Linked DNA regions of Coturnix japonica. The protein of the gene in region 1 purifies or fractionates together with the protein of each later gene. This does not show direct contact. Links are inferred from orthologs where the notes say so. Each region holds a gene or a part of one and is shown on either strand. Other genes may lie near its edges.

Region 1 (3,744 bases):
GGTTTCCTGGTCATTTTCAGCACACCATCCAGTAACCTTAATTGCAGTCCTACAGGTTAAGACCTGGTCTGCAGCTTTCAAACACTACCACAGCCTCTCACTCTGTTTCAATTCCCATATGGGGAAGGTAAGATTACACACACACAGGTTGTGTGTGGGCACCTGGGAAAAAAGACCTCAGCCCCGTCTGTGACCTGTTGTCAAAGCAATACAAGAAATCGATGCAGTCAAACAGCTTGACAGCAGAAAATAGGAATCGTTCCCCAAAGTACCAGAGTGTGTCCAATGGCAGAGAAAACGGCATTTCGGAGCTTCAGAACGACTCTCCGGGGATGTCTACCTAATAAAGAGAAGCGACAGCTTATTTTTTAAGAGCAGCACAATTGCTTCTGCAGCTCCGTGCTTCTCGAGGATCAGCGTCGTCTGAGGCAGCGTCTGCCCTCAAACCCTCATTAGTATCTGCTTCAGCTTTGTTAGCTACAGCAAGGAGTTTTACCATTCCAGGCAAAGGCGAGACTGCTTCCAAGGCAGCGCTAATAACGAGAGCAGGCTGCTAACGGCCCCTGTAAGCTGGGAGCCTGTTCAATAGCCAGGCCCAAAATAAAACTGCTTGGCATGACCAGGGCAGAGAGGTGCCTGATTAGAACTTTGGGGAATCGTGACACGACTGAGAGCAAAACTTTTAACCAGATGGTCCCGTTCATTTCAACAGCCTGTTGGAACAAAATATTCATGACTCCCTTCTAAATAAAACCGCAGCTGGTACTATAATGTACCCCCATTATGCAGGCGTTTACGGTCAAGTTGACAGTGGAAAAATACAGGCACACACACATTGCACATCTGGGAAGGATGGGTTGGCATTGCCTTTAATCCACACGAGCTGCATGCTGGATTCAAAGGGCCGACCAGGTCCTTCCACAGCTCGTTCTCTTCTCCACATCCAAAGAATGGATGGTTGCCTGGTTGGTTGGTTGGTTTGAAGGAATAACTATTTTCAGGCTTGTTGTTGTTTTGTTTCTGATGGGAGTTTTCAAGTAATTGAAGCAGCTCCTCTGCAGGCATGGAAAGGCAGGGGGGAGAGCAAGAGTGGGAAGAGGTTCAGCTACCTGCAGTTACACAGGATTAAATGCAATGTCCAGCCACAGCCTCACAGTGCTTGGGATCTCCCTTCAAGGACTGAGATCTTCAGACCCTCCCCAGCTGCCCACCAGCTCTCCTTCACTGCTGTGAACAAATCATAACTCCATCATGTCCCACCTGCAGCTCCTGGATACACCAGCACAACCCACCACGCACAGGGACCTCACAGGTAACCTCATCTGATTATACAAGGGTGAAAGTAACAGCAAGCCCTGCCTGGGAGAACTTTCTTGGGACTCAAACAACAGGAAGGAACACGTGTCCTTGAATGTAAGCAAATGTACGCGATACATCACTGCACCCCAGCACAGTCACCTTGGAGATGTGAAATGTCTTCAGGGCTGAGTCAGTGTCAGAACAGCAGGGCCGGGCTGTGAGCCTGGCGGCGGCGTTAAAGGATAATACGTTTGCCATCTGTCAGGGACATGAGGCAACTCATCCCACTGCTCGGCTCTGCCGTCTGACCCCTCTGCAGTGCTGCTCTGAGCACCTACGTCTGCTCACCCCGTGCAGGAAATGCTGTGTGCCAACCTGGGGGGGAGCGGGGCAGTGGGAGTGGGTGGCTCAGAGGGACAGGGCACAGGATATCCCAGCACTGTCATTGTGGGTCGCCACGACTTGCTTGGTGACACACAGGAGGCTGGGAGGTCTCAGCCCGTGGATCTGGCTCACTCTGGCTCTGCACACATATACAGATGGCAGCAGGTTCAGCATCACCTCTGGATGGATCAGGCAGGGTTGAGCACAGGGACAGTGGCAGCGCAGGGGGGAAATGGAGGGTGGGTTTGAGTTCTCATAGCTCTCCTGAATCTAGGAGAGCTAGATTCTAGGCTGCCGTGTCTGTGGGGTATTCGGCCTTTCCTTGCCATGCTCCTCCAGCTGCATGGTTAATAAGGGTGAACCTCTTCTGGGTACTCAGACACACAGAACCCCAGCAGGAAACAAAGCAGCCTCAGCTCCCATAGAAGCGTGCAGGGAAAGGGCAGTCAGACCCACAACAAGGAGTGGGAATTCACGCTTCCTGTGCCCTCTGCATCACTGTGCAACGTGCCCAGGTCACAGCAGGGCGATGCCCCTACCGGGAACTCAAACATTTCTGACAGGGTTACCCTGGGCCACAAACGCTGGTTGTCAGGACCCTCGTACGAACACCTTTAACCCCACAGCATTGATTTTGAACAGGAAAGAGGATGACTCAGCCTGCACAAGCCTTCCTCTTTCTCCCAACGCCCAGAAACAGACAGTGCTGCCCTGGGACTGCCCGTCCTTTACTTATCAGCCCATCAGAGCAGCAATACGGGGCAATAACAGCTCGGCACGGCTCCTGCTGCTGCACACCCGGCCCTGCCCCACCTCGGTGACCCCAACTACGGGCCCGGCTCAGAGCAGAGCAGCTGCCAACCCCCCCATAGACCCCAGCGGGGAGAGAAAGGGCAGAGGGAGCATCCCTGCGGGGTGATGCCGTGGTGAGGCCGGCCCGGCGCTGTGCGGCCGCCGTTACCATTTGATGATGTCGTGGACGAGCGGCAGGAAGGAGAACTCCTCCTGCGCTGCTGCCGGCGGGGCGGGCGGCGGTTTCTGCTCGGTGGGCGGCTCGGCCGGCGGCGGCTCCTCGGCGGCCCCTCGGCCTGCGGACACCACCGAGGCCATGGCGGCCCCCGGCGCCGAGCAGTGACGGAGCGGGGCGGAGCTCGGCCGCTCTGTACCGCCCCGGCGGCGGCCTGGGCTGAGCATCAGATGCTGCTTGTGTGTGGGGCTCAGTTTGGGCCTGGGCAGGAGGTTGGGGTGTGGGGATGCTGCGGGCCGTGGCCTGGGGCTGAGGCCTGGGCCGGAGCGGGGCTCGGAGGCCTCCCTGGGTCCTGGGCTGTGAGGGTGGGTGTGGGGGCTGAGCCCGGGGTCAAGCTTTGGGACTGGGTCTCAGATATGGGACTGCACTGCTGCTGAGGTGTTCCCCAGCTGAGCCGGGCCTGTGCTCCCAAGGCAGTGCCCTGCACACCCACACTGAGCACCCCACAGTGTGACCTACAGCATCCCTGACCTGTGTGCAGCCCAACTGTTCCTGGCTGTCCTCGTTGGAGAGGAGGGCCATGGAGATGCTGTGAGGGCTGGAGCACCTCTCCCATATAAAGGCAGGCTGAGGGAGTTCAGCCTGGAGAAGAGAAGGGCTTTCAGGGCTTGGAACTGGAGAAACCTGAAGGAATGGAGGCAAAAATCCAGCAGCAGGGCTGAGACATCCATGAAGCTGCAAGGAGGGGAGAGGTGGGGTTCTTGGGTGCCTGGGCTGTGAGTGCAAGGGGGTGATGGAGAACACGCTGCATGGAAGGTGAGGGTGAGCAGTGCTGCCCCTGTGCACCATCAGGAGTGTGCTTCAGCAAACTGCTGCTGCCGCGTTTAAACCGCTCTGTCAATACACACTATTGTAGCACTGATAACAGCAGCCACAGTCGTGAGTTATCCTTCCTGGATTGGCTTAGAGAGCACAGATAATTTTGTTTTTTATTTGAATTCAGCTCCCGGGTTCATCAGTTAGTTATAGCCCAGGGATGACGGGAAAGGTAATTTTCATTTTAAAAAACAATTTCTTTTGAAAAGCGAACTATT
Region 2 (3,744 bases), on another chromosome or scaffold:
TCAGATGTCACAGAATTCTTTCACAACTGGAAGAAATAAGTCAGGACGTGAATGAGCTCATGTCTCCCTCAGCAGCTGCTCTCAAAGCAAAGCCCTGCTGCTGCTCTGAACATTGAGATGTGCCTTCAGCTGTGATACTGAGGCACCAAACCCTAGTATAGCTTTGCTCTGATCCATCCCATACAGTTCCCTTCGCAAATCAGGAGGGAATCCTTTCCCAGAGCCAACTCACTTCAAGTCACCCCTAGAAAACCACAGCATAAGTTTAAAGCACTGCCCGTAGATGGGGATCTCACACATTACCTGAGAGCTCTGATCACTGCACCAGCCTGTAGGTGATGTAACGGCCTGCGGTCTCACTCGGTCTTATGATCTTCACCACCTGGAAGGGCAGCAAAAGGAGCAATGGGGGATGGCTGGTGTTACAGCAGCTGGTTCAGCAGGAAGCCAAGCCTGGCCCCAGGGCTATCTGCTGCCTTGCACACATCTCTACATAACCCATAACGTTCAGAAACAAAAACACTAACAAAGAGGAAACCTTTCCCATCTCCAAGCTCTGACACACTGTGCTGCAGCTCCCCATCCTGCCTGCAGGGCCCTGCTGTTTGTTATCAGGCTATTTGCTCTTACCTGGCCTCGCTTTATCCCGAAGTATCGGGCCACAGGATCCCCAGCCTGGATCCTGGGGAGTTGGTTCTCCCTCAGCTTACTGCATGGAGTCAAGGAGGAGCTCTGTGTCTGCTTGTCCTGAGGCAGGGCACAGCTAACAGAACATCACACACTCAAAGGAATCCATTTCTTGCCCAAGACAAGCACTCATCACACCCTGACTGCAAGGGAAGGACCAAACAAAGGATACTATCTGGCCAGCAGCTCGGTTACTTCTTCTTTTGTCATGACAACGTGCTCTGGGACCAGCTGTAAACAGGAGAGAGAAAGAGAGATCATAAGAGTCTGAGAAAGCAACCAGCTCTGCATAGCTGCAAGACTTGGGGGGAGGAACAAAGCTCTGGTGGGGAAACCCAGCACAGGGCAGGGCTGGGAGGGCCGGCCTGAATCACTCACCTCGTGTTCTGTGATGTTGATCAGGAGCTCCTGCTGTAAGAACTGCTCCAGGATGTATTTGGGAGCCATATCGACCAAGGACTGGGAAGGGAGAAGCACATCAGGTTGTAGCACTGATATGAGACAGTGTGAGCTCAGAGATGCCCCAAGATGAACAGCAGCAGGAGGGCAACACGGTGTCTGTGCTCACATTGATATGGTCATATGGGCAGAGAGGAAACAGATCTCTGTGCCCAACCAGCACCAGCTCAGTGCACTCAATGTATAAGCCCAGTATTAAGGCACAGAGCCTGAACTCTGCCTTTATGGACCCAGCACAGCTCAAAGAGCCCCGGGGCCACATCACACTGTACCTGCTTTGCCGATGGGGTCATTCCCTGCTGCACCACGATCAGAGCCCGCGTGATGTTCTCCTCCTGCATGCGCTGGCAATACATCTTGATGGTTTTAATGCCGACTTTGGGTTCCTCTGAGGGAGGAAAAGAGCAGGGTGAGATTGAACCAGGAGCACCACCAGACCCCAACCTGACCCCAGCCCAGTTCTAACCTGGTCCCAGCCCAGTACTAACCCGGTCCCAGCTCGGTTCTAAGCCAGTCCCAGCCCAGTCCCAACCCAGTTCTAACCCGGTTCCAGCCCGGTCCTAACCCGGTCCCAGCCCGGTTCTAAGCTGGTCCCAACCTGGTCCAAACCTGGTCCCAGCCCGGTTCTAACCCAGTCCCAACCCGGTTCTAACCCGGTCCCAGCCCGGTCCTAACCTGGTTCTAACCCAGTTCTAACCCGGTCCCAGCCCGGTTCTAACCCGGTCCCTACCTGGTCCTAACGCGGTCCCAGCCCAGTTCTAACCCAGTCCTAACCCGGTCCCAACCTCGTTCTGACCCGGTCCCAGCCCGGTTCTAACCCAATTCTAACCTGATCCTAACCCGGTTCCAACCTGGTTCTAAGCCGGTCCCAGCCCAGTCCCAACCCAGTTCTAACCTGGTTCCAGCCCGGTTCTAAGCTGGTCCCAACCTGGTCCAAACCCGGTCCCAGCCCGGTTCTAACCCAGACCCAGCCCAGTCCCAACCCGGTCCTAACCTGGTCCTAACCCAGTTCTAACCCAGTCCCAACCCGGTCCCAGCCCGTTTCTGACCCGGTTCCGACCCGGCCCCGTTTCTCACCGGGGAAGAACACGAACATCTGGTCCGTGGGATCATCGTTATGTGCCACCAACACGGTCAGGTCCGTTCGGCGCGGGCGGCCTTCGCTGGGTTTATCCCCGAACTGAGCTTTAAACTCCTCCAACGTCTGATCCAACTCGTCCTGAGTCACCAGGTAACCGCGGTCATGGCACAGCTAAAGGGAAATACAACATATGAGACCTGAAACCGGACCGAATCGAACCGAACCGAACCGGGCCGGCCCGCACCTGCATGATGGTCTTGCGGATCTTCCACAGCCGGTACGTCTCCTCCTCGTCGTCCATGTTGCCTCCTGAAGGACCCCACGAGGCTGCCCGCCTCAATGCCTGTCCACAACGAGCAGGCGGGGCTGCCCTGCGAGGGGTCCTTGACCGCGGGGAACGCTGGGAGATGTAGGCGGGGTGGAATGGCGGAAGGACACCACCCCCTTGTTGACACTGCAGCAGCCTCGCTGATTTGATTGGTGGTTTCGCCTGTCTATCACCCAAGGGAGCGGCTCGCATTGCGCAACTGCAAGAAGTGGGCGGTGCCTTCGCGCGTCCTAATCGCTGATTGGTCAAAGGGGGGGAGAGCGGTGGCGGGATGGGGTGGGGGTGGCGTTGCGGGCGGGCGCTGCTGTGCGGGGCGGCGGCGGCGAGAGGAGCGGGGCGGACAATGGTGAGTGGGGGGGGACAGAACAGAACCGAACCGAACCGAACCGGGTCGGTACTGGGGGGGTTGGGGGGGTTCGGAGCCGCTTTGTGACCGCTGGGCCCCGCAGTGCGCGCAGGCGGATGAATGGCGATCGGCCACCTCCATCTATGACTTCCACGCCACGGATATCGACGGCCGAGACGTGGCCTTGGAGCAATACAGGTCTATTAGATATATATATTATATAGACATTATATAGACATTATAGAGACATTATATGTACCATACAGCAACACAGCAATGGGCTGTATTATATACCCCCCCCCCCATTTTACCCCCGCAGAGGTTCCTTTTACCCCCTATTTTACCCCATTTTACCCCATTTTTACCCCCTATTTCACCCCTTTTACCCCCTATTTTACCCCATATTACCCCATATTTTACCCCATATTACCCCTTTTACCCCCACAGAGGTTCCTTTTACCCCCTATTTCACCCCCTTTACCCCCTATTTTCCCCATATTACCCCCACAGAGATTCCTTTTACCCCATTTACCCCCACAGAGGTTCCTTTTACCCCCTATTCTACCCCATTTACCCCCACAGAGGTTTCTTTTACCCCCTATTTTACCCCATTTACCCCCACAGAGGTTCCTTTTACCCCCTATTTTACCCCATTTACCCCCACAGAGGTTCCTTTTACCCCCTATTTTACCCCTCCAGGGGTTTCGTCTGCATCATCACCAACGTGGCTTCCAAATGAGGAAAGACTGCAGTGAATTACACTCAGCTTGTCGACCTGCACGCACGATACGCTGAGAAAGGGCTGCGCATATTGGCCTTCCCATGTAACCAGTTTGGGAAGCA

Evidence for each region.
Region 2: the proteins of MED9 (region 1) and POLR2E purify together in Homo sapiens (affinity purification with mass spectrometry; 4 studies listed by BioGRID and IntAct, with this or other methods). This does not show direct contact. The link is inferred for Coturnix japonica from reciprocal best matches to the Homo sapiens genes MED9 and POLR2E.

Annotation. Positions count from the first base shown.
Region 1 is NC_029529.1:4,804,435-4,808,178, reverse strand, and holds the start of MED9 (mediator of RNA polymerase II transcription subunit 9), read right to left. Parts: upstream 2,829-3,744; 5' UTR 2,794-2,828; coding exon 2,645-2,793; intron 1-2,644.
Region 2 is NC_029543.1:2,009,223-2,012,966, forward strand, and holds the start of POLR2E (DNA-directed RNA polymerases I, II, and III subunit RPABC1), read right to left. Parts: upstream 2,608-3,744; 5' UTR 2,529-2,607; coding exon 2,472-2,528; intron 2,399-2,471; coding exon 2,224-2,398; intron 1,535-2,223; coding exon 1,419-1,534; intron 1,147-1,418; coding exon 1,066-1,146; intron 919-1,065; coding exon 860-918; intron 710-859; coding exon 631-709; exon of another isoform or gene 383-630; coding exon 317-382; 3' UTR 304-316; intron 27-303; 3' UTR 1-26. UniProt on the Homo sapiens protein: DNA-dependent RNA polymerase catalyzes the transcription of DNA into RNA using the four ribonucleoside triphosphates as substrates.